Diceros bicornis minor: one gene and its partner. The protein of the gene in region 2 interacts with the protein of the main gene of each other region in a biochemical or structural test. Links are inferred from orthologs where the notes say so. Each region holds a gene or a part of one and is shown on either strand. Other genes may lie near its edges. The genes, in order: PKP1 and DSG1.

What was found.
Region 1: the proteins of DSG1 (region 2) and PKP1 form a complex in vitro, tested with the Homo sapiens proteins (2 studies listed by BioGRID and IntAct). The link is inferred for Diceros bicornis minor from reciprocal best matches to the Homo sapiens genes DSG1 and PKP1.

What each region holds. Positions count from the first base shown.
Region 1 is NC_080777.1:29,557,283-29,572,633, reverse strand, and holds the start of PKP1 (plakophilin-1), read right to left. Parts: upstream 6,220-15,351; 5' UTR 5,981-6,219; coding exon 5,779-5,980; intron 1-5,778. UniProt on the Homo sapiens protein: A component of desmosome cell-cell junctions which are required for positive regulation of cellular adhesion.
Region 2 is NC_080755.1:25,924,990-25,939,989, forward strand, and holds the start of DSG1 (desmoglein-1), read left to right. Parts: upstream 1-8,290; 5' UTR 8,291-8,294; coding exon 8,295-8,342; intron 8,343-15,000. UniProt on the Homo sapiens protein: Component of intercellular desmosome junctions. Involved in the interaction of plaque proteins and intermediate filaments mediating cell-cell adhesion.

The DNA of each region.
Region 1 (15,351 bases), on a different chromosome or scaffold from region 2:
CACACCTGAAACATTCTCACTCTTCTTCTCAGCCAAACCCTCTCCCCGAATTCAAAACCTTGCACAAAGAGCAGCTTCTCCCAGAGATGACCCCACCCAGCTCCAGGCGCTCCGAACCCCCCAGCACAGCCTCGTCAGCACTCTGTCCAGCGGCTCAATGCACTCTGTGCTGGCTGGTGTGTTCCTTGAGTGTGGCTTCTGTACACTCTGTGTGTGTGCGTGTGTACACGCCCATGTGCCCTTCTCCCAGAAAGCAGGACCTGGATCTCCCCAGTCAGACTGGGAACTCTCTGAAGAAAGGGGTCGTCTGGATCCCCACCCCACTCTTGACCCCAGTTCTACAGGGAGAAGACCCTCAGGATATGGGCCTGCCTGACCGACAGGCTGCCCTTGGGGCAGAGGTCATCTGAAGGCCCTCTCCTCCACCCCACCCTCCCCCCAGATCCCTCTCCCTTGCTAGTCAGGAGGACCTGTCAGAGGGCAAGCTGCCCGAGAGGTTTCTCTATTGCTGAATCTGTCTCCTGTAGGCTGATGTCTCTTCTAGCTTCTTCTACACTTACATAAAGCCCATCTCTTCCTCAGCACAAAAAGGTGGAGAGAGGAAACTCATTATCTTACAGCCCTGAAAATGCCTTTACTTCACTCCCTGAAATCTCTTTCCCGTGTGTTGTCCAGTAAGGCTAGGCCCACAGCAGGAGGAATTCAAGTGAGATAATGAGAAGAACTGCCAGAAGACACTTCTGAGACAATCTACCTCTGAGATGTTCGGGGGGTGGCAGGAGCTGTGTCTGTGGGATGGCTGAGGTGCGCGGAGGGAGGAGAAAAGCCGACATCCTCCTGTTCCCCTCTGCCCAGGCCAGCTGGGAGACCAGGAATGTGCCTCCCCTGTCCTGGAGCTTCCACGAGCCCAAGGGGGCAGGAGTTCAGCACAGCCTCACTAGGCACTTTGGGGCGGCGCTTGCCCCTTTCCTGGGCACGTACACAGAACAGAAATGCCGAAACAAACTGGGCTGCTCGGGCCGCCTCCTCTTCTCCCTCAGCACATGTGACTGCCTCGGGCTCTGCCTGGCCGTGTTCCAGCCCAGCTCTGCCAGAGCCTGTGCCCTTTCTGATAATCTGTTCGCAGTCACCATCAAAACTAAGGACTGGGCAGAAGGTGAGAGCACCCTGGGGGGCCCGGGCAGTGGGTTAGTGTGGACAGGGCCAGAGAGGACTCAGTCACCCAGTGGGGTCCAGAGCAGAAAATCATCACCAGCAGCGACTACACCAGATGCCCGTCCGTGTGTGCACACACGTGTGTGTGCGTGTGAGAGATGTGTGCACACTACAGTGATCCTCACACTGGGTCCATGTGTGAGTGAAGGACGGGGACTAGAATGGCTGGCAGCCTTGGAAAGCCCTGGTGCCCACGCTGTCCCCCACATTAAGTCAGAACCTCCGGGGGCGGGATCCAGGCATTTGCATTTTTTAAATTCCCAGATGATTCTACTGCGTGACCGAGTTTGAGAACAGCGGCTCGGAAGATGTTTTTGGTGGATTAGGATGTTTACACGAGGGAAACTGGGGCGATGCGTCCCAAGGGACTGTGAGATCTGCAGGTTTGGGGCCCGGATCGCAGAGGTGGGGTTATACAATCTATTTCCAGAGAGCGTTCCCACCACCGAGCACCTGGGAGATGATCTAATCGACGTCTTACGCTTGCAGAGACGCAGGGAGAGGCAGCGACTTGCCCAGATCACACGCCAGCAGGCACTGGACCCAGACAGAACTCGAGTCTCCTGACACCAGGCTGGACTCCTGCCACAGCACAAGCTGCAAGGTGGGGTGTGTGCATGCATGTGTGCGGACACGTGTGCCTGGGTGTGGGCACGTGTGTATATGTGTGTGCCTACAAAGAACTCCACATGAGGGTTGCTAACATGCTCTTTTATTTTGTTCAAATATTACACACCTTCTAGGGCTCCTACCCCACTGTAGATATAGTTCCCAGATTTTTCAACCTAGAACAATTGGCTTATTGATAATTACAGTTTGGTGTGTGAGGAGAGCATTTTTTTAAAAATCTCTGCCAATGAGCTTTGCAAAGGAGCGGGATCCAGGGAAACGGCATTTGCTGTGGAACAGCCTGGAATACTCGACATTTTTGCACGTGTTGTAACAGGCCAACGGAAATTCTGGCTAAAACCTCAGCTTCAAGCCAAGATACATTGTAAAGAAACAAGAACCTGTTCATCGGCAGTTTAATTGGTACGTTTCGCTGCTGGGACAAGGTAAAGCACGAACACCTTTACCATTGCCCTCCCAGCTCTGGTCCCAAGAAAACAACCCAGAAGTGCTGTCTGCTCCCGGATGCAGGCGGGAAGGAGAGCAGAGCAGAGCCCCGCGCAGGCGCAGGCTCCTGCTGAGACAGCCCGCAGACACAGAGGGACCGGCACAGGTGGGGCCTCAGGCGGGACATCACCTGTGCACGGGCACAGCCAGCACCAGCTGCCCCCGGGGCCTCGAGCCACGTGTGCCCGTGAGGGACCAGAAGCACCTGCCCCAGCCCAGTGTGCCCCCACCCCTACCTCTGACCAGGGAGAAACACGGGCTTGGTCACTTTCATAAGGAAAGGGTACTGCTGAGAAGAAGGGAGGAGGAAGACTTCAGGCCAAGGCTGAAGATGAAGACCACAGTGAGGCCAGGAGGGACGAGATTTCCCTGGATTGAGCAGAGATAGGAGGAAGGACGCTGATCTCATTAAACTTAGTGTATCAGCGGGGACAGGGGAGGATGGGATCAGATGAGATTTGAGGGAAGCTTTGGGAAGGGACTCCAGGTGAAGTTATGAAGAGCCTGACTGTGGAGAAGGGTTTCCCTTTAGGCTGGACACCTGGTGCGACAGCCCTTTACCCCCTACAGGGCAGCTCATGAGCCCCGCAGGGACTTTCCCACCCTTCGGGAGCCGAGCGACCCCAGCAAAGATCTTTGGCTGAGCAGCCCATCCCCCTGGGTTCCCTCCTGCTCCCCACACAGTCTGAGATGACACCCTGATGCACACAGGGACCCTCTGGAAACACGGGGGCAATACTTAGGGGACAGTTCTGGAACAGATCCAGATGGGAAGGCAGGGTCAGAGCAGCCTCCTTCTGTGGGGTCTCCAGACCCCCAAGACCCCCTCCCTCCCTGGGGACTGCCTGACCAAGATGAGGCATCCGTCTCATCTGCTGAGTTTTAGGGAAGACATGGGTGAGACGAGCATTCAGTGCCAGGCTCCTTCCACAGGGCTCCTTCCTCCAGCCCTTGGGTGGCTCAACGCCCCCTCGCTGACAACACGGAAGAAGACCCTAGTGGGGTGGTCTCTGAGGACCTCAGGTGGCCGATTCCTGACTGTCCTTCACGGGGTACGAGGAGTAGCAGCTACTCTGCCAGGCAACCTGTGGAGTGTGGCTGACCTTCTTTGGGACAGGAGATCTTAATTAGAAGGCCCTGGACGGGATTCAGGGCCCAGGAATCAAAGACCCCAGAGAATCCGACTCTTCTCTCTTGGAGGAGCCTGAAGGAGAATTAGAGTCCATCCAGGGGGCCGAGGGGAACGGCCTGGGGTATAGCCCTTCCACAGCTTCCCACTCACCCATCCCAGGAACCAGAGCAGGTGCGTGGGATATCAACCAGCACGAGAAAGGGGGAGCCGAGGGAGTGCTTGGGTGGTTCTGATAAAGAGGAGCGGAATCTGATGAAAACAAAGCCAGACAAACCAGAAACACCAACTCCCAGTGACCTAACCACCTCTCCCAGCTAGGATGCCTCTGGGGAAACTGGCAGGGTGGGAACCTCGCCTGAGCTGAGGGTAGAGGGGCCACACCTACAGGGTTAGTCCTGGGAAAACCCCATTTCTGGAGAGGTCTGCATTAGCCTTCAGAGTCAGCCCTCGCCTGGTGGAAGCCCTTGGAGGAGCCTGTGGTGGACAATGGAGAGGAAGGGAAGGACACTCACACACGGCTGTCATGCACAAAGGGCAGGGCCAGAAACAGAGCACCCCATGACGATGGCATCCCCACAAGTCCGGGGGAGAAGTAGTGTTTGGGGCACCTGGGGCTGGTTTGAGATTTTTCTGGAGCTGTGAGCCCAGAGCTCACGCCTGGGATGGAGTGGGAAGGGACAGGTAAGTCTTGTGCAGAGACAACAGTGGGCTAGCTTGAGCTGTGACTGGGCTGTGGCCAGAAATGGGGGCACTTTGTCAACTCAAACTTCCAAAAAATGCCAATAAGCAGCTACCAAGGCACGGAATACGAGGGAAGGAGGCAAATGGCCTGGAGGCTGCGTGACCTTGAGTGGAAGCCTGGCAGGAGAGGGACCACAAGCCCGGACCAGGGCAAAGGCACACAGAGGTGCAAAGAGCTTCAGGACCAGGGTGCAGGGCAGTCCTGAGCCAGCCATTTTCTCTCCCTCAGCTCTCCACAGGGGCCACTCAGGGACGAGAGACAGAGAGAGACAGAGAGAGAGTCAGAGACAGAGAGAGAGAGACAGACAGACAGACAAGTAGCCAGAGGTAGAAAGTGTGAGCTGGTGTGTGTGTGAGTGTGCATGGTGGGGGAATGGGCAGGGGTCCATCTCCTGTGTCTCCTTCCTCCTTTCTACCGCCACACTTTCATGAGGGCTGGACTTCATCAATAAATCTCGGTTGACCTGTACTGGTTTGCCGTCTGCAGAGCCTTTCTTAACATTTTACTAAATTTAGCTAAATAAATAAACAGAAGGTTCACTAATTTGTGTGCAATTCTTACTGGGAAGCCTTTGTATTAAAGTATTTGGTCTAAAAATTCTCCACAAATGCCCCTGTTGGATATTGTACCTTCCTCCTTAAGTTTCGGTGTCCTGTCCCTTTCTCCTAGCCTCCCTAGTCGGGGACCTAACTGTGGGATGGGGATGGTGGTCACGCCTGGCACCAACATTGCACAAGTGCCCACCACAAGGGCTCAGCACTGGATCCTAGTGGGATTCCCAATGCTGCCAATCTCATTCTCTGCTGTCTCTGAAGACACTTGTTCCCACTTAAGGTGAGAGGAGAAGGGAGAACCTGGGAAACCGAATCTCCGCGTTAGCCACTGGGGAGAGAGGGCATCCCTGGGCCCCTTCCCTATCCTCAGGGGGCGCATCTGCCCTGGGGTGACCTTCCAGCCGGATCTGCCTCTTCCAGGTGTGAGGCTCCCCGCTAACGTGCTGCAGAGTTCCAAGGGCTTGTCCTGCTCCATGCCCGACCTCCCGGTCCTGCAGCACGGCCCTGAGCCTCACCCCTGTCTCAGTGACTCCCTCCCGGGCGGCAACCACGCTCTGGCCCCACCTGGACTGGGCGCCAGCTGCCTGCTGAAGGCGCAGTGGAACTCGGAGCCCAGGAAAGATGGGGCGGGTGTGGGTGGCCACTGGGCGAGCCCTGCGTCGCGGCCCCCAGGAGACCGGGGACAGGACAGCATGTGGAGGCTGTTGCCTGAGCAGGATCAGGGAGAGAAAGCCCTGAGCCAGGAGAACGGCTCGCGGGAGAAGCTCAGTCTCCCGGCGCGCAGGAGGAACGCTCCTGGAGGTGGATCCCCGCGGCGAGCCAGCCTTCGCGCCCACTGGCGCGCCCTGAGCTCTTGGAGCCCGCGCGCGGGTCGGGGGCCGCGGCCCCACTGGTCGGACCTTCGCGCACACCCTGCCTGGGGCCGGCATCCCCTCGCCTCCCTGCAGCCCCGGGACGCGCGCCCCGCGGTGCCCGCCGCCGGCCGTGGCGCGCCAGGGAGGGGCGCACGGAGCCTTTACCTCGGTTGGAGTGGCTCAGGGTGGACGACTGGGAAGACTTGGACTTCTGCCTCTTGACGGTCATCATCACCTGCTCCTGCACGCGCTGCCTGCCCGACGTGCCAGTCTTCATCTTTTGGTCCGACGGCAGGGCCAGTGTCGAGTTGTCCTGGTCCTGGAAGCATTCGTAGGCCAAGGCGGTCTTGAGCGGCGAGTGGTTCATAGTGGCGGAGGCGCGCGGGCGGGCCGGGGCGAGTGGGGCGGCGTGGGGTGCGGTGCGGCTGGCGGGCGGCGCGGAGTGGGTTATGGGAGCTGTCAGCGGCTCCCTATGGCCATAGAGTGAGTGGTCCGCGCGAAGTCCCGGGTGCTGCTGCTGGCGCCTCCGCCCTGGCTCGTCCCTCTGCTGCACTGGCGCGGCCTGCCCTCCGTCAGACTGGATATACCGCCCTGCCCTGCACCACCCCTCCGCTCAGGCGCGGGCTGCAGGGCCTGCCGCTGCGGGCGCGAGCGCTCCTGGGGGCAGGGCCGCGAATCCCGGGGGTGGGACGGCTGGCCTCCGCCTACTCTCTTCCTTTCTCTCCCTTCCCTCTCCCCACGACTTGCAGTAGGTGAGGCCGCGGGAGACGCCCCTCAGTCCTGTTCCTGCTTGCTCAGGAGAAAGTATGTGATCCACTCGGGAGCCGAGGGAGACCTCTCTCTCTAGGAAAAAGAAGTCTTTCTCCACTGGGCCCAGGACAGCCAGATGCCCGTCCCCCTCTGCCCCGGGGTCATGGCAGAGACCAGCCCTGTCTGTGGGGGCTCCCAGGCTGACGGCCGAAGCACAGCCCCTGTCCAAAGGAAGTGTTCTATCTTATGGGGACCACGTATTTACTCTAAGTCACCCTCCAACCTACAGGGAGTGGGGTGGGGGCATGAAGTGCACACCAAGGACGGACTTGAGACAGAAAACCACAAGCAGCACACCTGTCATGCATGGCTATGCCAGGGGAAAATGCCTGTGTACAGTGGATCCTCTCTGAAACTCCGGACTTAGCCCCTAAAACAGGTGCCTGGCATGTACGTTTTTAAGTTAGTGCCCATTGAGTTGATTCAACTCCTAGTGACCCTGTGGACAGCAGAGTGGGACCCTGCCTGGTCTTTTCACACCATTTTCTCCCCTTCTGGCGCCATATCAGACAATGCTCCACTGCTATTCACAGGGTTTTCATGGCCAATTTTTTCAGAAGTGAGTGGCCAGGTCTTAATCTGGAAGCTCTGCTGAAACCTGTCCACCATGGGCGACTCTGCTGGTATTTGAAATCACAGTGGCACAGCTTTCAGCATCACAGCCACACATAGCCACCACAGTATGACAACCCACAGATGGGGAGTTGTTTCCCTGACTGGGACATGAACCTGGGCTGCGGCGGTGAGAGTGCTAAATCTTAACCACGAGACCACCAGGGCTGGCTCTGGCACATATTAGGAGTTCAATGAAAAATATTTCTGAGTGGAAGAATGAGTGAAAGCTAGCTAATTTAAGGTAAATTAAGTCTAACTTGCATCCTACCCATATCCTGCGTGAAAAACTGGAAGGTGGCCTAGCCCGTAAAACTACCCCACTGCAGACTTAGTATTTTAGGACTTGTGTGTGTGTGTTCTCCCATAGCCCCCTCCCACCGGGAGGGGATACTTGTGTTGTGATGCTTCGCTCACGCAGCATCACCCTCAGGCATGGAGTGGCCCACACCAGGGAATTTGGTGTGTAACAGGAGCTGAGTATTTCTAAAACTATGTTGATGGAAATCTTGCTAAAAGACATCACTCTCTGCCTTTCCTCCGTAAGCAAAAGGTCCCAAACATATTTTATGCACTTCTTGATGATTCAGAGTTCCCTTTCTGGACATCCATCACTGAACTGCGTGACAGTGTGGTCCGGCCAGCTCCTCAGTCTTTGGGTCTCCTCCAGCTGTGGTATGCTTCCACAGCGTCACTTCCACTGTCATCTGTAGTCACCACTCACAGCCCACACATGTCACTGCTAGTTTGCCTTTCCGATACGCAGAGGATGGACCAACAGACATTATGTGAGGAAGGGTGGAGAAGCCTGAGTGACAGTCTCAGGGACCACACGAAGGTCACTTGCCCCCCTCCTGAGAAGGGAGTGTTATATGCAGGGAGCCCCAGCTTTTCTCCATGATGCATTCCTTTTAGCCACATTCAGAGCAGAATATTATAAAGCAGATCATAGTTTCCAATAGAAATAGTTTTATAATTGAGGGTTGTGTTCCTAGGAACTTAGCATCAAATAAACCAGAGATGTGATCAGCAATATGTCATAAGTACAAAAGTTCAACACCCCTAAACTTCTATCATCACTTAGAATGTTAAGATTCTGCTTCCAGCCACAGACTGTCCGGGCTGGACAGAGCCTTGCACATCACTCAGCCAGCCTCTGCGTTTTTCTGATGAGGAGAGGAGGTAGCTTGTGCGCGGTCACGCAGCTAATACGTGGCGAAGCCTCCATTCTAATCTGGCTGGATGACTCCTGGGCCAGTGCTCTTCCCTCCACACTAGCCAGCCTCCCTATAAAAGTCCTATAAAGTGGGCATTAAAGTGCAGTGCATACCCATTACGTAGGGCCCCAATATGCTATAAAGTGTTTATGACAGCACTAAAAATACACTCCATTGTATTGCACATCTGGCCTATCTAAGACCTAACATGCTAGCTACAATAAATGTTAATTATGTCTTTAAATAATGACAATTTTACCTTTAGGATGTAGAAGGGCTCTGAAGGAGGTAATTGGGGTATCTCATGTTGCTATAAAAAGCCATACTTAGTCCCTGGAAGCTGAAACTGATTATCTTTAAAATTGTTTCCAGAGATGAAGTTAGGTTTTTCTAGATGCTTCTCTATTATCTTGATATTGACAGTATTTTTATATGTTGGTAGCAATAGCAAACATTTGCTGGTGTCCTATGAGCACCACAACTACAAGCCAGGCACGGCCCTGGGCCGTTTATGTAGACCATCTCATCAAATCCGTACAATGATCCTCGGAGGTGGGTACCAGTGCCATCATCTTTCTTTTTCAGGAAACTGAGGCTCAGCGAGGTCACAGAGCTGGTAAGTGACAGAGACAGGGCCGAGCACAAGCAGCCTGGACCTGGAGACCGGGCACTCAGCGAGGTGCCAGGCTGCCTCCTCGTGATTTCCCTGTGACAAGCAGTGGCTCAGAGCCTTCCATGGATCATCCTTTAACAGCATCCGTTTCTGTCACTTGTCAGGAAAGTCAGGCCACCTGGGTTCCGGTTCCAGTTGTGTCGCTAACTAGCTTTATGATGTTAGACAAGTCCCCTCCTCTGTCCCCTGTGCCAAATCTGTGAAGAGAGGAGGTGGCTCTGATAGCTCCCCAAATCCTCTCTGGCCCTAACCCCCCAGAATTTGATGTCAATTATGGGATTTTCAGAGCAGATGATCTAGAAGCAGGTCCTCCGGACAACATTCTGTTTGTCCCTCCTCCCCCAACGCCAAAGTGAAGGGAAGCCTGGAAAGGACAGAGGGGTGCCCACCCCACAGAGTCGCGCTGTGCCCAGCAGCAGGCCCACTTTGCAGACGTTATTTTATCTAATCCTCCCAAACACCCCGAGAAGCTATTATTTTGCAGACAAGGAGACACACTTGGAAAGGGTAAGTCAGCGGTGAAGACAGATTTGAGCTGAGGTCTGGCTTCCCACTGGGAAGGAAAGGGAGGGGCATGGAGTGACCAATTCTGGGCCCAGGTGAGTAAGGTGTATTCAGGCCGGGAGGTTGGTTTGGGGTCAAGTGCATTGTCGTGAGCATAAATCCAGGACTTCTCCATCACCTCTCTCTTCCACCTGAGCCCCGCCTGGGGGCCCCTGCCTCAGAAAAGGGCCAGAGAGGAGGGTGACCCTCTGAAAGTGCAGAAGAGATGCCACAAGGCTCGTGGCAGCTGAGCTCTGAAACAGCATGCCTTCAGGTGACTCTCAGAACATGATTTAGATGATGGAAAATTCCAATGAGTGTGGGTTAATTTGCATTTAGAGGGTGGAGGTGGTCTGGGGAAAGCTTCCTGGACAAAGTTAACCTTGACTTGCTTCTGAAACAAGATGAGTAGATTTTCATCCTCAAAGACATCGGAATGGGTGAGTGTGAGCCGGGCTCCGATTCTCTTTGCTGCTGGCCCTGCAGCATTAACCGTGACCAGATGTCACTCAACACTCCAGGCTTGCAGTGCTCATGGCAGTAAAATGTCCGGTGACCTCGAGGTGCACTAGAAGCGGAATGGGGGTTCATTTATTCAACAAGCATTTACTGAGTGTCGGCTCTGAGCTAGGCCCTGTCCTAGGCACCGAGGATGCAGTGCCCTTATAGAGATGGGGAGGAGGGGATGCTGGGCCAGGTGGGAGGACTGACGGCTGAGAGGAGGGTTTGGGCTCCTGCTGCCTTTAGGAGTGATCGGGCTGAAGCTTCTCCTTGCTCAGTTTCCAGCCCCCAAGGTGAGGGGACCACCTCCACCTGAACCCCAAAGTGATGCAGACACCCCCAAGGAGCTGGGAGAGGTAACCTTCCTTTATGACCCCACCTTATTCAGCCCCATCCTTCTGCCTCTACCCCTGTTCCAGGCACCTGAGGGCTTCCCGGGCAGCAGCCATGGGGCCAGCTCCCTGCTCTCCAGCCTTTTCTAGCTGAGTTCCTTTGGTCAGCTAGCAGGCTCCTCAATGGCTGCCCAACTCCTTAACATTATAACCTCTCCTGATGAACCCCAGTGCCCCTTCCCCAATCTTTAACTAGCCTCCCTTATCATTTTCCCTATTAGCCCTCAGCGGCCCGCCCTGAGCGGATGCCTGCCTCTGCACCTTTGTGCACACGCTATTCCCTCCACGTGAGCACTCTGGGTCAGACACGTAAGTATGTCCCGAGTGCCTAAATGGGCTACATGCTGTGCCAGTCCCTGGGGATAAACAGGAGAAAAGCCTGGGTCCTGCTCTCACAAGGCTTACGTTCTAAGGGGGTGGACAGAGTAAACTTGTAAATGAGCTAGCAAAATTATACTCAGTGCCGTGAAGGAAGCCAGTGAGAGGCTGATGGAGAATACAGGGGGGCGACGTTCACCACGTGGTCAGAGAGGGCCGACAACTGGGACCTGGAACTCCAGCAGTAGCTGCCCATCAGGGGTGGGGGCAGGTGCTCCAGGCAGAGGAGACAGCGAGTGTGAAGGCCAAGAGCCTGGCCTGTCCTCGGAACCGACAGACCAGCATGGCCTGGGTACAGGGTAGGGGGGTGGTGCACACACGGTGGACACAGAGGCAGGTGGGCTGCACTGTCCTGTACAGCCTCTTGTGATCATGGAAATGTTCTGCATGTGCTGGCTATTTCAATCAGTTAGAATTAAGTGAAATAAGAAATTCAGTTCCTCAGACCCACCAGCCACATTTCAAATGCTCAAGAGCCAAGTCACCAGTGGCCACTATACAGGACAGCACAGGATCCCACGGGATCTTCTGGACCTCTGTCTGGGGCTTGAATTTTGTTCTAAGAGGAGTGAAGTTCCCTTGAGAGGACTTAAATAGAGGTGACAAGACACCCCTACCCCTGCCTTCCTGCTGCTTGTCGACATGTCAATCCTATTTATACTTGCTCAGCAATTCCCAGACTAAACTCAGCCCCTCGCCTGGGACCCCGTGTCACTGTTTTCTACCTGTGTTAGAGCCCTGGCCCTACGCCACCACCGTCACACGTCTACATGACCTTGAGCAGCCTGAGGGAGGGACGTATGCTGTTTACTTTCCGACCGTCCACATTACTGGTACGCATTGGGTGCTGGGTAAATGTTTATTTTGTTGAAGTGAGGCCACCCCCTCACTCTGAGGTCCATTGTACAGGGCCATTGTGTCTGGAAGGTACGGAGGGTGGAGGCTTCCAGCTGTGACGGGGAAGGGAAAATGGCAGAGCAGAGGCCACTCCCCAAGCCATTTGGCGACACCCTGATTGGAAGATGTGAGCATGTGACCATGGATCCCCCATCCGTGAGGGCAGGACTAGAGGGCTGGCCTGTGCCCTTGTGTTCCAGCCCTGCTCTGCTCTGGAAGGAGATGAGGTGGAAGGGCTGGCAGGGGGAGGAGCGAGAGCCGCGGGGTCGGGTGCACAGGCCCCGAGAGCCGGGCCTGGATGTGTCCCAGGCGGGCTGAGCCAGGCCAGCTGAGGGGAGAGGCAGGGTGTGCACCACGGGCTCCCCGAAACGCCAGAACTCTCTGAGCTGCCATTCTGGTCTCTCTGGGCAGTGTGGGTGGGGTGGTGGCCATGGAGGGAGGGAGGGAAGGTGATGAATAACAGCCAGCGACCCAGCCCAGCTGCTGTCAGCACTAGCTCTGGTCTGCGCCCGCGCCCTGCCAGCCCCAGATTCCAGCTCTGTCCTCCCGAGGCTGGCAGACCAGACCGGCCTTCCCATCTGCCCCTCCCCTGCAGCAGTGCTGTTTGGCAAACCCCGGGGGGGACTAGGGCTCCAGGCCTGAGCCCCAGCCACAGCATCCTGGGGGCCCCACAGCTCTCTGGGGGACCAAAAGCCACTGGAGCATAGACCCCAGGGCCTTCCCAGGGAGGTGGCCTGGAAAACAAGAACAGGGCTTTGAGTGAACCGACCAGGTTTGCACACCCTGGCTTTGCCACTGTAGGCTGTGCGACCTTGAACAAGCCCCTTAACTTCTCTGTCCCTCAGTTTCCTCCTTTGTAACATTGGGTGTGCTACACCTGCCCCACAGGGTTCTCGTGATCGTAAATACATAGAAAACACATTAAATGTCAGGCACAGGGCTGGTACACGATGGGAGCTTAATAACACACAGAACTCTCCCTCCTGCCGCAGCTCCTCCTGCCTCCCATCCGACTGCCCTCTGCTCTGCCTGCCTCACTGCTTGACGCCGTTATCCAGGCCCAGTTCTCCACGTGCGTCTCTCCTGCATCTCAGAGCCTCCAGCATTCCTCCTCTCTCCCGCTGCCCCGCCTCTCCTCCTGGCCTGGCCCCGCACTGTTGTCCTTGTTGTCTACAGGGTGGCTCTGTCATCACTGCCCTTGGACACTTTCGAACCTCAGAGGCGGAGGGGACCTCAGGGACCATCTGGTCTAGCCCCTTAATTTGTCACAAGAGGCAGCTGAGTGCAGAGAGGCACAGTGACGTGGCCTTGCAAAGGCCTGGGTGCCTGGGACCTGCCTCCCCCACCATGGGCACACGGGCCCCTCTCCCTTTGGGGGAGATTGAGGGTGGGAGACTGGATGACAAGCCTGAGACTTAAAGGGGTACCAAGGCAGGAGAGGAGCCCAGAAGGCCCTTCCTGGAGGGGCTGTTCTGCTGCCCCATGCTGGAAGAATCGCCAGCCCTGGGAGGTGGAGCAGAGCCCAGGGAGAGGCTGTGGAAGCCGCAAAACTGGCAGACGCTTGGGGCGTGTGCCCGAGAGCTGAGCAGGCCCTGCACTCTCTCCCTCTGTCTCACAGTCACCTGCCCAGCCCCGGTCCCAGCCCTGCACAGCCTAGATGGTAATTGGATGAGTCACCTGCAGACAGAGCAGTCACACCCAGGATAGCTGGCACCCCGGCGGTGGTTCTACTCAGAGCTGCTGGGCCGGCAGCCCGCCAGGCCACGATGGGCACTGGTGGGGAGCCAAGACGCCAAGAATATGCTGAGTGGCAGAGCTGCCTGTCTGCATTGCCCCATCTCCGTGGCCAGGGCCTCCTTCGGACAGCCCGGCCCAGGTGCCTTCTTATTATGACCAACAGCAAGCAGCAGGCCAGGCATCTCCCAGATTTGTGCTCAGGCTCTGGAGTTCAGGCTGCTCTGGAAGGTTCTCTAGTCTCCCACCGACTGGGCTTGAGTCGAGACACACAGCGGGTCAGGTGTGGTCCCCTCTGCCTGACAGGGCTGATGCTTCATCCCTGTGCCTCAGATCCCATCACTGCCCTGTCCTCTGAGCCCACCTCAAATGCTCCCACCTCCTGCCCCCACTCCTAGACGCTGGAGGCAAGTCTCCTCGCCCACTCTTAGGGTAATTTTTTCTCTCCTGTGCCACTTCCCCGGTGCACAGAAAGCTCTTTGCGTCACCAGCAGGCCTACTCCAGTGCCCTGGATAGTGCAATGGCCCAGTAAGTGTTCATCCCGTCCATCAACATTCCATCTGTGTGCCCTGTGATGATGTCCCTGCGCCCAGACACCCCCCTCGGCATCTTTCTGCTCCCACCTTCCCCCACCCTCTTTCCAGGCCCTATCATCACACCAGAGTTCTCGACTTCAGGCCCTGCTGGGCTGGGGCTGGACCTGGGCCCACTTTGACAAAGAGGCTCGAGGTACTGGGGGGTTCCATGACACCTTGACCCTCCAGCCATCTCTGGTCTTTGCTCTCCACTGGGCACCGCAGCTGCCGAGAGAGTAGAGTGTACAGGCCTGGGGCCTGGAGCACGAGGGGATCCTGCTTACCTCTCTCCTTTCCAAAGGGGCCTCTAGTCTCGCTTTGCATTTGCTAGGCCCGGCCCTTGGCAGCCTGCTCTGTGAGCCCCTCCTGCCCCAAGGAAGACCCTGGGTGGCCTCTATCACAGATTTTGTCCCCCACCCCACTGTCTTGGAAACTGGTCAGCAAAGCAGGGATCACCAGCATTGGGTGGCAAGAGGTGTCAGCTCAGGTCTCCCCTGGTGATTTCTGAACCCCAGTGTAAGCCAAAGATACCCGTTCCACTGCTCTCAGCTCTGAAACTCAGGCTGGGTGAGGAGGGCGCTGGGGAGGGTGGGCCACAGGACAGCAGAGACAGAATTGGGAGACCTTAGGAACCAGGGAATCCTGGAGACCGCGGAACTGCTGCCGTCCAGGACGAAGGCTCTGCTCTCGCTGCTGCGAAGGGAAGTCGTGTCATGACCTCCAGAAGACTGGGTACTTCTTGGATTACTTGGTGATTTCTGCCTCTGCTTTCGTCTTTGTGTACAAAGAGGCATGATAATGTTTCACATCTTGTCATTCTTTGCAGTTTACTAAGTGCTTTCCTGTCCTTTATCTCTTGGGATCTGCCCATCAATTCCTCAAGAGAAGCATTCACCCCATTATCACCTCCATTGTAAGAATGAGGAGACTGACACGCAGAGAGGCTGCCTGAGTTGCCCAAAGTCACTACTGGTTAGTGGCAAGAGCTGTCTCAGAGGTTCTTCCTACAAACTCCAGCCGGGTGCTTTTCCCCCACACCACACACCCTACAAGACGTGGCTGGGGTGGAGACAGATGCTGAAGTACACGGTCTTCAGAGACACTGCAGCAGGTTGAATGGTGGCCTGCCCCAAAAGAGATATGTCTGTGTCCTAATGTCCAGAACCTGTGAACGCGAACTTGTTTGGAGAAGGGTCCTTGCAGATGTAATTAAGTAAAGGATTTGGGGATGAGGTCATCTTGGATTTAGGGTGGGCCCTAAATCCCACGACAAGTGTCATTCCATGAGAAAGGTGGGGGGAGATCTGGGACACAGAGGAGAAGGCCACGTGAAGACAGAGGCAGAGACTGGAGCGATGCAGCCACAAGCCCGGGAAGCCGGAAGCTGGAACACGTGTGGAATGGA
Region 2 (15,000 bases):
CAAGCCATGCTGTGGCGGCGTCCCACATAAAGTAGAGGAAGATGGGCATGATGTTAGCCCAGGGCCAGTCTTCCTCAGCAAAAAAAGAGGAGGATTGGCATCGAATGTTAGCTCAGGGCTGATCTTCCTCACGAAAAAAAAAAAGAAAAGAAAACATGATATTGTCTAGAATTTAAAATGCCCCGAATCAAATTTTTTCAATAAGCCCATAAATCGTCCTCTATTGCTATTCTTCATTGCCATTGGATGTTCTATGATCCTAAGACTCAAACACTGTGTTTAGTTTTGATGTCTCTTTAATTTCCTTTAATTAAGACAATCCCCCACTATATTTTGTTTATCATAACATTAACATTTTTGAAGGATGCAGACCACTTTAATATAGAATATTTCAAAATTGAGATTTTTTTCTTGTTTTCTCATTCAAAGATGCAGGTTAAAATTTTGAGTAAGAATACTGCATGGGTGACACTGTATAGTTTTTATTGCATCATGCAAGGAGGCGCATATTGTCAGCTTGTCCCAGTATTGGCAGTGCTTAGTTTGATCAATTGATGAGAGACGATGCCTGGTTTTCAAACAAAACTTCACTCAATAGTATTAACACCCATTGGTGACCTTTACTGGAATCAGTTATTACGTCACTGGGTACGATATTAAAAGTTTCTAATTTTACTATTTTTTTCTATATTTATTAGCTAGCTATATAGCTAGCTCTTCTAAAAAGAAGAGCTTAGTCTCCATCAGCACCCTTTTGAGGAACACTGTGGACACATGTATTCTTTTTTATTCAATGTGTCATAGCTCATTAGCATCATTATCCTTTTTGATGATTTTTGCTTCAAAGACACTGAAACTATGATGCTACAGGAGAAGTCTTTGTTATTAGGAGATACAGACAGTAGTATTTAGGAATGAAGTGTCATGATATATGCAACTTACTTTCAAATTATTCAAAATATACCCCCAAAAAGTATGTGTACATAAAGAGAGAGTTAATGTGGCAAAATGTTAAGAAATTGTAAATCTGGATGGAGATTTGAATTTTTTTAAGTAGAAAAAGAGAAAAACAAAGCATAAACAAAATGTTAAAAACTGATCAGTTCTTACAGCAAAACCTCAGATAGATTCCTTTTTCTTCCATTGCACCTAATTTCAAAAGGAAGGAGGTGTTTCCCTCCATCCCCCATCACCCTATTCCTCCACCCACATCGAATCTGCCATCTGGTACTGTCTATTTTACCTCCATCACACTTCTATCTCCTTTTTCCTTCCCACTGAAACCACACTATTTCAGGTTCATTACCTAAAAAATAATGGTGGCCTCCAAATTCATCTTTCTCTCTCAACTGTCTCTTCTCTATCCATACATCACAAAGCTTCCAGGACAAATTCCTAAAGCACAACTTTGACTAGGTCCATAGCTTGCTGGAAATTCCACAGGGGTTCTTTGTCTGCCATAGAATATCATCCAAATTCCTCAGCAGGGCATTCAAAGTCCTCCACATTCTATTAACTCACTAGCCCTGCTACCTCTCACAAACAGTACACTCAGGTCCAAACTGATTCCTTTTTTGGCCTGATAAACACATATTCCTTTCTGCCTTCTTTCCCATCTATACCTTCATTTGTTGAGAGTGTAGTCATCCCGAAAATTTCAAAATCTACCTCTTCCGTGACATGTTCTCCAATTCCCTTAATGTGGAAATTATTTCCCTTTTGCAGGGTTCATAAAACGCTATAGGCCTTTCCTATAGCACATACATCAATGTGCCTTGTAGTAGAGACAGGCCTCATCACTCCTTTGAGATCAGGTTAAGATTATAGCTTTCTTAAAGACAGAAACTTCTATTACCTATTTTTATCTCTCCTGACAAATAGCACATACCCCAGCAGGGCTCAAAAAATGTTGATGGTACTGAAATTTGAAAACCGCAGTCCATAACGGTTTCTGAAAATGATCTTTTTACCTGCTTATCGACTATACACACACCCCTAAATGGAAAATATTCTAGACAAATATCATTCAATATATTACCCTGAAACATATTGGTATCATCTTCAAATATGAAGATGTCTTCAAATATGAAAGACAATGGTAGAAAATCTTAAGACTGTGGAGGTGATTGCTTCTTATTTCCACCAGAGACAGTAAATCACCGAGAGACATAAATTTGTCACTGAGCGGTTGCAATATAAAGACCTTTTGATCTGGGAGGAAATATGGAGTTATTGTGATTTCTTGAGGAGATGCATGACATAAGGAAAGCAATGTTTCAGAAACATTATTCTGGAAAATGACTATAAAGTGGATTAAAAGAGAAGAGTGCAGAGGTGCAATTAGAAGAGTGGCACAGCAATGCCAGGTGAAGAGGGCCTGGAGAGGATGGATCCACAGCAGCAGAAATGAAGACAGAGGGGGCCGGCCCGGTGGTGTAGTGGTTAAGTTTGCGCACTCCACTTCAACAGCCCAGGGTTCACAGGTTTGCAGGTTCAGATCCTGGGCACAGACCTATGCACTGCTCATCAAGCCATGCTATGGCAGGCATCCCACATATAAAACAGAGGACGATGGGCACAGATGTTAGCTCAGGACCAATCTTCCTCAGCAAAAAGAGGAAGATTGGCAGCGGATGTTAGCTCAGGGCTAATCTTCCTAACCAAAAAATGAAGATAAATTTGAAAGCACAACATGAGTTGACTTAGGTAAGCTACAAAGAAAAGAAGAAAACAAGCGTTTTAGAAATCAATTCTATTATGTCATAAAAGTGTTCCCTTTAACATTATAAGATTTCTCTGACATCACCTCCGACAAAACTGGGCTATGGGTTCCCAAGCACTCTATGCAGGCTTCCATTTAGCAGGTTGGAAAAAAAGTCTGTTCTTTCTCATTCCAGCTAGCCTGGAGCCACTTGAAGGCAAGGACCGTGGTGTATCCACCTTTGTAACTCCAGTACCTGGTAAAGGGCAAGGCATATAGTAGGCCAAAGAAAAAACTGGTGTAGTACTGAATTGATGATAATTTATTATAAGTAAAAGGAAGGACTGAATTTGCAGATGAAATCCAAAGAGTACACTGGGGTGTTGGCTAATACACACAGACGTGTGAGTAGGACAGTCTTCCAGAAGGGAGTAGTAATACTTCTATTTCAGTATGTTTGCAGCTACAATGTAACCTCTTTAAGGGCTGAGTTCAAAAGTATTTTGAATGTTCCACAGCACCTAGCAGAATAATGCACCTGCAGTAGATGCTCAATTAGAATTATTTTTTAATTTTTTAAAAGAACAGACAATAATAATTTAGTCTCTTTCATCACTCTTATTTTATCATAAAATATTTAAGTATTAAGATAGAATCCAAGGTTCCCAAAATCATTTAAGATTTTCCCCTACTCATGAATATTCTTTCTATGTAGAGAAAAGTACATACAGTTGTGATGCTGTTGAACTGTCAATCTAGAATTGACTAGAGAAAAATAAAATTAAAGTTTTCCTTAGATCTGGTTTAAAAGAAAGGAAAAAGAGTTAGGCCATAGATTAATCCAGCCAATTAAACAAAGTCTTTCTGAAAATATAAAACTAAAAATATAATTTGATTATAAAGATGTATCTTTCCCTCAGTGATTAATTGCTTTAATTTTATGGGTTACTTTTAGTCATCATGATTTCTGTTCACACTCTTTAGATCAATCTTGTAGACTCTCCTAAGATCAACTAATTTACTATTACAAACTATAATCTATTCATCTAATGCAGAGGTCAGCATACTTTTTCTGTAAAGGGCCAGATAAGTAATTATTTTAGGCTTTGCAGGCCACGTGGTCTCTGTCGTAACTACTCAGCTCTGCTGTTGTAGAGAGGAAGTAGCCATAGACAATACATAAGCAAATGAGTATGGTTGTGTTCCAGTAAAATAACAAAAAATGCAGTGGGCCATATTTGGCCCATGGCTATAATTTGCCAACCCCTACTTTAGTCCATTATTTTAAATTTCATTAAGAAAATTCTTACATATACAGAAAAGCAAAGAGAAAACCATATACTATCAGACTTAACAATTGTTAACATTTTGCCTTATGTACTTCATCTATTTTATTGCTGAGTTACCATAAAGAAAATTTCTGTCACCATGAGATTTTGCCCCTACATATTTTGACATGTATCTTCAAAAAGAAAGACATATTATGGGGCCGGCCCCGTGGCATAGCGGTTAAGTTTGCACATTCTGATTCGGTGGCACTGGGTTCACAGGTTAGGATCCCAGGGGCGGACCGATGCACTGCTTGTCAAGCCATGGTATGGCGGCGTCCCATATAAAATAGAGGAAAATGGGCACGGATGTTAGCCCAGGGCCAATCTTCCTCAGGGAAAAGAGGAAGATTGGCAATGGATGTTAGCTCAGGGCTAATCTTCCTCACCAAAAAGAAAAGACATATTACTATGTAACATAATAAAATTGATAATAATTCCCTAACAGCCCATATTTAAATTTCTCCAAATAACCCCAAAATTATTTCTATTGCTGTTTTGTTTAAATCAGGAATCCAGTTAAGGATCAGGCATTGCATCTGATTGTTATATATTAAAGGAAAAGTGTCTTTTAATCTAAAACAGCAGCCTCCATCCCCTCCACTTTTTTATGTGACTCATTGAGGAATAGTCTGATTTTAAACAGTGTGAGCAAGATCTAGAATCAATACATGCCATAGGAACACTAATATAGAAGCAAAGACAAAAATTTTTGTTTATATTATCCTTAACATATTTACTTCAATTTCTTCTCTATTTTAGGATTTACTTTTATGTTTTATTTATTTTTTAAAGAATTTGCAGCGCTGATTATGGTAATTTCAACAGAGATATGAAACCAGAGATTCACATATAACATAAAAGCTTATTTCAAAGGATTTCTCTGAAATATGAGAGTCTAGGCTGTGGGTGCTGTGTAAATGAAGGAATATAGAATAGTCAGTTATCTTAATTAGGCTTAAAAAATTCTAGATCAGTGGAATCCACCACCTTTAGTGAAAGATGCTGATTATTTTGTCTTTCAAGAAGATATTACAGTATCCCAAGCTGTACACAAATATAGAAATATAGACACTGGGGGTGACATTCTAGAGTTTACAGTGCCTTATGAGAGAGAGGAAAATCCTTTCTCAGGGGAGTTTTGATCCTTTTGAGAAAATTTCAGCTTACCAGGGAACTTCCAAACAGAAAAATCAACCCAAATTTCATAAAATTTCCACGAAATGAGAACTGTTGGTAATACGTGGAGGTACACACACGAAACAATGTTCAGAGAAGAAACAGAGTGCAGTGATACCAGATAGAAGAAGCAACCTTGTATAGCACAGTGATGCGACAGTGTGGTGTGAGGTTACAGATTAGGTGGCTGGAAGAAAGAATTGAGAAAATGTAAATATAGAAATGAGAGGGGTTTGTGTTGCCCATGTTTTAAAATAACTCATGGGCATTAGGACAGAGGATCAGTAAGGTGTCAGGAAAAGGCACTGGGCCAACTGAGATAATAGGAGTACATAAAGGAAAGAGACTCAAAAGGTGCCAGCTGGAAACTGGAACAAAGCTCGAGTTCCCTCAGTTGAGAAATGGAACAGGATAGATTTAATTAAAGGGAGTTGAATTTATAAAGAACAGAAGGAGTTAAGGCGCAGAAAAAGATAGAAGATAATAAAAGCACTGTGCAATATGGTAATCACTGGTCAAATGTAGTTATTTAAATTTAAATTAACTAAAATTAAATAAAGTTAAAAATTCTGTTCCTCAGCCATATTAGTAGTCAATTCTCAATAGCCACATATGGTTAGTGGCTACCATATTGGAAAACACAAATAGAGAACATTTCCACATTTCAGAACAGGACAATAAAATGATTAAGAAAGAGAAAAAGGCAAGAAAAGAGGTTAAGAAGAAAGAATGGTGATTCATAAACTCCATTTCCCACTTGTGCTTAATGTCACTAGTTCTCATGTGACAGTCAAGACAGCCACTGCTCTGCAACATTGGGATTCTGCCACACCTCCTCTCCAGAAACGTGCTGGAGAAGTTGCTGACTAAGGAATGCTCTAGTTGGTTAGGATGGTTGGAGCAGGCCATTGAGTTAGGGGTGGAACCAAGGTCAGGCTTGAGGAAGAGTCATTCAATGGATGAAGAGGGCCTGTGCACACCCTAGCGCCATACCTAGAACTCAAGGGGGATAAACATTCACTTGCCACTGGAAAGCTCCAAGAGTAGGTTCTTTCATCTCTGGTGCCCAATGAGTCTTCAGTCATTCACAGTCATACAATCTTATACTAATATATTGCTCAAAATAAGTCATAGGATCACACTCACATTCTGTCTTACTTGACTCATGAGAAATTTGGCCTGACCATCTCCTTTTGTTTTACTTATTCACATCAACCAATTCCTATCATAAGCATTCTTATTCATTGCAAGTAAATATAGGCAGCCTATCTACTTCCCTCTAACCTCCATTATGTACGGCGTGAAATTTCAAACTACTGTTGAGTAACCTTTGCCACACACCTGTAGTAAAATGACAGCATTCTGTAGAACCTCTGACCTTCAGAGATATCCTTCCTTTCTGGGTCATTTTAAGCATCCTTTTGACCATAATCAACCTCTTATCAGATTGGTCTCTTATTCCAGACTGCCATTTCCAACTCCATAGACTTCCTGCCACTCACAATATTTATACCAGACATTGCCAAGTGAAGAGATGATATCCCAAGAACACTTTCAAATGCTGCCTTGTAAGAGTCACTATTTATTTTCACAAACCTCAGGGCTGCTCAGTTTGTCATTTGCATGTGTGGGCAGCCATCTCTTCAGTGTGTTCCCCATGTTCTAATTGGCTCACTATCCAGATTCTTGGCTCTGTACTTGGGAATTGTCATTGACTTTTAACCCACCTCACCTGAAGAGCAGCTTTCTGGTTTCCATTAGTATTTCAGGCATTGATCCTCATTTTAAAAACTATTAACAGGATTTTAATTGGTGGTTTTGATTGTTTACTTTTCATCTGGCTTGGTGATATTTTAAATTTTGTTTTACTGATTTTGCAAAGAGCAGAACTTTAAAGAGAGAAAAATAATTGGGGAGAGAAGATACTCATTTAGAGAAGTAGAGGCTTCCCTGGTCTTAGGCTGATCACTTAAAGGGAATCGTGACTTGTACAGAGGACCTTATAATTGTAAGTATCATAGTTTTGCTTGTTTGAATTAATGCTATATACACAATGGATACTACTCAGCCATAAGAAACGATGAAATCCAGCCATTTGTGACATCATGGATGGACATTGAGGGTATAATGCAAAGTGAAATAAGTCAGAGGGAGAAGGTCAAATACTGTATGATTTCCTTCATTAAGTAGTAGATAATAACAACAATAAACAAACATAGGGACAGAGATTGGATTGGTGGTTACCAGAGGGGAAGGGGGGAGGGAGGAGGGTGAAAGGGATAATTCGGTACATGTGTGTGGTGATGGGTTGTAATTAGTATTTTGGTGGTGAACATGATGTAATCTATGCAGAAATAGAAGTACAATGATGTACACCTGAAATTTTTACAATGTTATAAACCAATGTTACTGCAATAAACAAAAAATTAAAAAAAATAAAAATAAAAATAAAAAAATAAAAAAAATCCTCACTCTTAACATTAGCAAATTTTCTGTCTCTTAAACAACTTCGAAAATAACTGACTAGTTCCTAACATCCACTGAAATGGAAAGTTTGTAATTTTCTACTGTGACCTGAGGGTCTGGCTCTGAGCATGGGCGGGAGAATCCCCTTTGAATAATATAAGCCTGACTACACTTGCCTTTTTAATATGGGAAGAAGCCAAACAACCTGTAAAAAAAGCATAAGGTGAAAAGTCCTTATCAATTGCGTAAGTCCCCATAATTCTGATCATTTTAAATGCCTGTCACTGAAAACCTTCTGTAAAGGAGTGAATCTTTCAGGACCCACAGAGAGCTGCCTTTCAGCTGGAAGGGTGTGTCCTTAAGCTTTTACCTGGGAGCAATGATGATCTTGTCAAGCATTTTAGTGAGACCAGCCCAAGTTTTTAGGGTGGGGATCTAGACTGGTTATACGTACCTTCAGTCCTTCTCCCAGAGAAGGCAGAAACACCTCAAAGCCTGCATGTAAGAACATCTACTGAGAAATTATTTTAATCAGACACCAGCTGAGTGGGGGAAAGAAAAAGAACAGAGAAGAACAAACAAAACTCCCTTGGTCTTGGATGTAAGAGAACTCGGCAGCGATGGACTGGCACTTCTTCAGAACAGCGGCAGTGCTGTTCGTTTTCTTGGTAAGTGGAGTCTGTTAAAAACCCTTCATAATCATTCACATTGTAAACAAGTGAGAACTTTTTAGAAAATGTTATTTAGTGTTATTTCTAGCCTAAACCCATTAAAAGTTTATGTTAATGATGAGGTGATTTTATGAACTAGATTTTTAAATAGTGTTTCTCTCTTTAATTGAAGACTCGAGATCATATTAATGCGTCAGTGTTAACTCATCGTATCACATCTCTGACATGGAAGTCATTGCTAAGTCATGCCAGGAAAATATTGAATTAAGAAAAGTCGTATCACTGCTTAACGGCACTTTGATTTTCAAATTCTTTTTTGCAGATGGGCTTTTAAACTAATAATATCACAGGTGTGTCCTGATTTTTAACCTAACCAATTTTCCATTCTTTTGTTATCTTTGCTGGTAGATTTGCTGTAATTTTTAAAACATAAAAATAGTATCCGTATAAATTAAAATCATAGCAGTTTGTGACTGGCCTCACTATCCAAACAATCTCATCGGTTCCATATGTAGTTGAGAGCCATATCACTAATATCGAAAGTCCCACATTGCTAAACTCTGATTTTAATTAAAACAACATTTTTTTATTTCAAATAAAATGGTGGTATGGGAGATTTATAAATGATATAGTAGGTGAAGGAATGGCTATGACTAAGGAGTAAGTATAATTATTAAGATACTGGCTCTTACTACCGGAAAATCAGTAACGATGGTGATACAAATATCAAGTTGTACATTTGATGGTGAGACAAATGTAATGAAATGCTTTCTCATTGTCCCCCTTGTACGTCATTAGTTTTGTCTTTTTAGAGATAATACTAAGTGCAACACCACTGTGTTGCATCAATTTCACTTGTGTTGAAAATTTTTAAATCGTAGTCTCTCGCACAGCAAGGTTAATGTAATCTTTGGAGGCAAGTGCCTGTTAATCGCTCTCCAATTTGGCAGGATGTAGTGCTGTGGTTTATATTTGTTTCTACATGCTTAATTTTTGAACTGGATTGTTGAGTTTCTGTAATAACAAGTTAGATCTTCTTTGATTCAAGGTATGCTGGTTAGTTTGAATTCAGTTTATTAATTGAGAGAGGTCATAACCAGTAGGTTTAGTTATAAATAAGCATCAATAAGCTGGTAGCTTTAGTTCCAGGCTGTCCTTCAAACATTAGCCCTGTTCCATGGACTTTTTAATGGATCTTTAGGATCAGTTGATATCATAACTGGGGATGTGGCAGGGATTCATGAGCATTATACAGCACATCATTTGAACATAGGAGCATTTGTGTATTACGAAATAATCAAATACTTTTATTTTTAATTTCATATAAATTTGATCCATTAAGGCCTATTATAGTTACAATTGATTAAAGTTTATTCAGATGCTTATGTACTTTCACTGAATCTATAAAATACTTTATTTCTTTATTCTATTATTATTTCCAATTAATTACATCCCATAAAATTCCTTTAAACAGCCACTTTCTAATTAATCATTCTTCAGTAAAATATATCATTTTTTCAAAATCATGCATCCTCATTGAAACGTCTCTTTTTGTATAAAGGTTTCTGGGCATTTGTACTTTATTTTCCAAGTCTGGATATATTTTTTGTTTGTGGATTGTTTGTTGCCATATTTTACTCTGGAATCAATGGCAAGTTTCTCATACGCCTTATGAAAATTATTTCTCAAAGAACTTATTTTATTATAAATTAAAATGTTTCATTTTCACATTATTGTAACTTTTGTTGTAAAGCATTTTACTTTCTGAGGTTTGGAAAATAATAATTTATTTTTACTACTGATTTTACCAGATGATTTGAATAAATATCCTTTGGAGTCATCTGATCTATTTTTGCTTTAAAATACTTTTTTTTATTCTGAAAATTAACCACCACTAGAGCAAACTCTCCCACTTACCTTTCTGCTAGCCTTACTATGAATGTTTGCTTTAAAAAAAAAGAAAAAAAATCTGTGTAAAGTCTTTATATTCTTCTCTGCTCAAAGTGAAAATCTACATTAGGGAATATATTTGGACAATCTTGAAGACTTTTAAGACATTTAAACAGGTAGTGTCTTTATTAATGCAAATCCATTTGCAAGATGGGCAGCCATCTATTTACAAGTATGTTACGTGGTCTGCTGAATACACCTGAAGGTTTTAGACCTTGTTCAAATTAGTGAGTTAAATCAGGGAGAATAAGGCTGAAGAATCTGCTCTGACAGCAACCAAGATTGCCACATGACTATTCCATTATTTAGACAAGTGTCCTGGATAGACAATAGTTTACACCTCTTATAACATTGCAAGACAAATAAATATTATTGATTCTGCATTTCTTTTTCTTTTTTCTTTTTTTTTTTGTTTGTTTCCATGAAATTGGTATATGGGATGGGGAGGGGTTAGAGTGTATTCTAGGCCAGAGAACAATGTTACCTATGCACCAAATATAAGAAATCTCTGTAGATGGTTGTGACAATGGTATAAGGTATGCCCTAGTCATGGTAGGAAAGCAAAATACGACCAGTAGAATTTTTATAGTTCTATTGATTTCTAAAAATTACTTGCAACTTTGCCAGATCTATTAGTCAACTCAAATAAATACAAATCTCAATGTATCTTTTTCTATTAAGGCCAACTTCTGCAGCTTACACTCAAAGAACAAATAAACCTATCCTTATCTATTACCAAGAATGATCCAATTTCTTTAGTTCATCATACCAGCCTAGCTTTTCTTTTTTCCACGATTAATATTTCCTTTCCAAAAAAACCCCTCTGACCACCTGATAAACTAACTCCACGATTTGAACTTAGCTGAAATTATTTAGGCTATAGGCAGGAGTTTTTCAGAGTATTTCTCAGCACTCTGGCTAAAATACATAGAAAATAAAATATACTTTATTTCATAGTGCACTCACTTATTTGAACCGGACATCTTAATTCTCATAATTGTGTTCACTGATTCCTAAAGCAAGGAAGGACTAGCAAACTAGTACAGACCAAACAGAAGACAAGCAAAAGAGAGGATGTTTTATGCCTTCTTGTGCACATATTATAGTGACATATATGACAAATATTAGCATCTCAGTAAAATATTTTATAGAAAATGGAAGAGTATTTCTGTTTACCTGTTCAGTAGAATTTATAAATTGTATTTAAGCAAAATCATTTCCATTTATATGGTATTCTTAAAAGCTTTATTATTTCACTGCAGATTTAGAATCAGCATCTTCTTTCACCTTTGTGAAAATAGGGAGTTCAAATTTATCATTATTTAATTGGTTTGAGTTGCCACAGAGGAAAAACAATTTGCCATGCCTGATTTAGGTTATAGAAAAACCTAAAGCACTGGGAAATGCTGTCTGGATAAATCTGAAGGCTTGGCCCCTAAGAGACAAGATTCCCTTATTTAGCAAGGCTCAGGAATCAAGAAAAATGACACTTGTCTATACCTGGAGCATTTAATTTCAGATAACTCTTTCTCCACTATACATTCTTCAAGGACTTTGGTGCTGAGTATCCCTGTGTCCTGACAGGCGTTGCCTAACACAAAAGCTGGAAGCATGCTCGGCAATGCAGTTAGATTTATGATGCTCCCTTCAATGAGGGATCAGGGAATACCCTTACGGAATGCTGGGTCTACCACCCTTGCTGGTTCTGCTTGGCATGCAAATTCCTTTAATGGACTTAGGCAGGTCAAACTTTTTTAAATGCCATTGGCTGCTGATCCAGGCTCTCGACTGGTCTATAAGAATAGAGTGCAGCCTTATACACTTGTCTAATGAAAAACCGTATCTCCACAAATTAATGGCTGCCTGTTGCTCATAAAACTACTTAACTATAAGTTATATGCGGGCAGGTTCTGTGTCTGATTCACTTTTGAATCCTTCATAGTGCCTTACACAAATGCAAGATTGCTCAATAGACATCTAATCAAACAAAGTAGAGGCATCCGAGGAGAATTTTTGGATAGTTTATATTTCTTCTTCCCCACACACTCCAAAAAATAATCAAGGTATTAAACATGGAAATAATAATGTTGAATTTCCCTAACATTTATTTTTATGGTGTAGCATTACATTTACTTTACATTTTATCTAAGGCTTACCATAATACTTTTGGGGCTTAAGCCCTTTAAAAGTCTTCATCCAGTGTTGGATCCACATAATACACATTAGATATGTATTTGTCAAATGAACAAACAAACTAATGAACAAATAAGAGAAATCACCCTATCAAGGTGCTGTCAACTCCAGACTGATAGCTTTTGTCCAAGTAATATAAAGGAAAGACAAAAGAGGAAGTTTCTTAAAAAAAGCAAACTATTATATTTTAGCTTTGTCTCAAGTTCGTCTTTGTGTTGCATATAACAGTTAAATACATTAGAATTTGATGCCTAACAAAAACTGCCAAGTGACTGTGGAAGATCACCTCACAATTATTAAATGCAAGAGTTTTTCCTTATAAAAATTACCACTTTTAAAACAATTTTTATTATATGCAAAGAAATATAAACCTCAATATCAAGAGAAAAAAAGCTAAAAATAAAAAAACTAACAAGTATAGTTAGAGAATCATTGAAATTAGCATGAAATTTTGTGTCCTGTGGCTTTTTTTTTTTCCTTTTTTAATATGAGGATCAGTTCCTAAAATAGAGATGAAGGGAGGACTCATTGAGGATATACTTCAAGTAAATTATTCACTGCTTTCTTAGAATTTTTAGATTAGAAAGGGCTTTAGTCTCAAATACAGATGAGGAATTGGAGGCACAGAATGGCTATGTGGCTTACCCCAATGCCCATATGTGGTGAGCAACAGAGCTGAGATGTACTCAGTCAGCTTGACAACCCCTGTATTATCTCTAAGTGAATCTCCATCACAGCCTCCACAACATATATTCCCAACTTATTTCAGAATCCAAACTACTCCCTTAATTGCCAGAAAATAACCTTACCCTTACTCTAGAGCAAGGTCTAGATAATGAAGGACAATGTCCTTCAACCTCCCTGTGATAATCGATTGATTTTAATCTCCATCCTTCCTCTCTCCCTTCCCTTCTGCCTTCAAAGTCCTTTCTTTCTGCTTATTCCCTCCTGCTCTCTCCATCACAACACCTCCATCAAGTACTTTCTTTCTGAACCTCTTCTCTTTCAAATCAAAATCTCCTGCTTTCCTCTTTCTCCACCTTCAAAAATCCACATTTCCCTCTCCCAAAATATTTCCTTGGACACTACATCTAATTCTACTATCACATCTTTCTGTTTCCTTTTATCACCAAATTTCTTGAAAAAGCGACCATCTGGATGTACTCTTCCTCTTCATCTTATTACTCTATCCCTTTCAGTCAGGAAGGGCCTGTTCCACCCAACTGAAAGCATTTTCCTGAAGGTCACAGAAAACCTCAGAATCTCCGCAGGATTCACTCTGCTCAATATTTTTATAACATCTGACATCTGTTCACACCCCACCTTTCAATTCTCTCTCCCTTTGGCATCCATGACATTGCATTATATTTTCCTCCTGTTTCTCTGGGCACTTCTTTTCTATCTCTTTTTTTCTTTCTTGTTTATTGTCATTGTTCCCAGTTATGTAAATGTAAGAATTCCCCTAGTTTCATTCTCAACCACAGGCCATTTCTTTGCTGTATTTTCTACTTAGGGATTTCAAATTCTCCCATGATTTCAACTACCCTACCTGAGCAGATGTCCCTCAAATCTATATATCAGGCCTGAACTATTATTCATCATGCTGACACATAGTTCAAATTGCTGATTATCTTTACCTGGGCGTTTCCCTGGCATCTCAAACTCGATGTGTTCTAACCTGCTAAATTCTGCTACTGCCTTGCTCCCAATCTCCCAGTTGAAAACTGCCATCACCTGAGATTCTTCCCTCTCTTGACTCCCACATCCCGTTTGTTCTGAAGCCTTGTCAATTTCAACCGCATAGTCTCTCTCCCTTGATCTTTCCTGGTCTGTTCCCACTGTCACCGCTCTGGTTCAGCGCCTCCTCATCTCTGGCTTACCCCAATGCCCATATCCAGTGAGCAACAGAGCTGAGATGTGCTCAATTCGATGCAGAAGACTCGACTGCTCAGTGGCCTGTAATCGCTGCCTCTTCTCACTACTCCTATCTATTGTTGTCCGAGTAACCTTTTAAACCCACAATTTTATCATGCCTTTCCCACGATCAAAAAAAATCAATATTTTCCTACTGCACACAGAGATTTGATGTTAGAAGTGGAAAGGTAACTATATAATTTAGTCTGCAACTGTCATTTTACAAATGAGAAAAACCTGAGAGAATTGAGGAAGTACATTGAAAGTTTTCTGACTCTATCAAGTGTTATTTTTATCTCATTATTTTGGCCTTAAAAGTCCAAGAGTGACTGTTTTAGATTTTATTCTAGACTCTGAGCAAAAGACAATAAGGTTATGACAACACAACATAAATTTAAGCAGACTTGGCAGTTTTTTAATTACTAACCCAATTGAGAGCCTGACACTATGGTGAAAGCTATTTGGTCTTCTGCCTACGTTGCCTCTCATGGGAAAAAGAACGAGCCAGCTTCATGAAGTTGGAAGGTTTCTTAGTCATCCAGCATAGTTCAAAACAAACAGCAGCCGCCGACACTGCAGTGTGGTAAGGAAAGTGCAA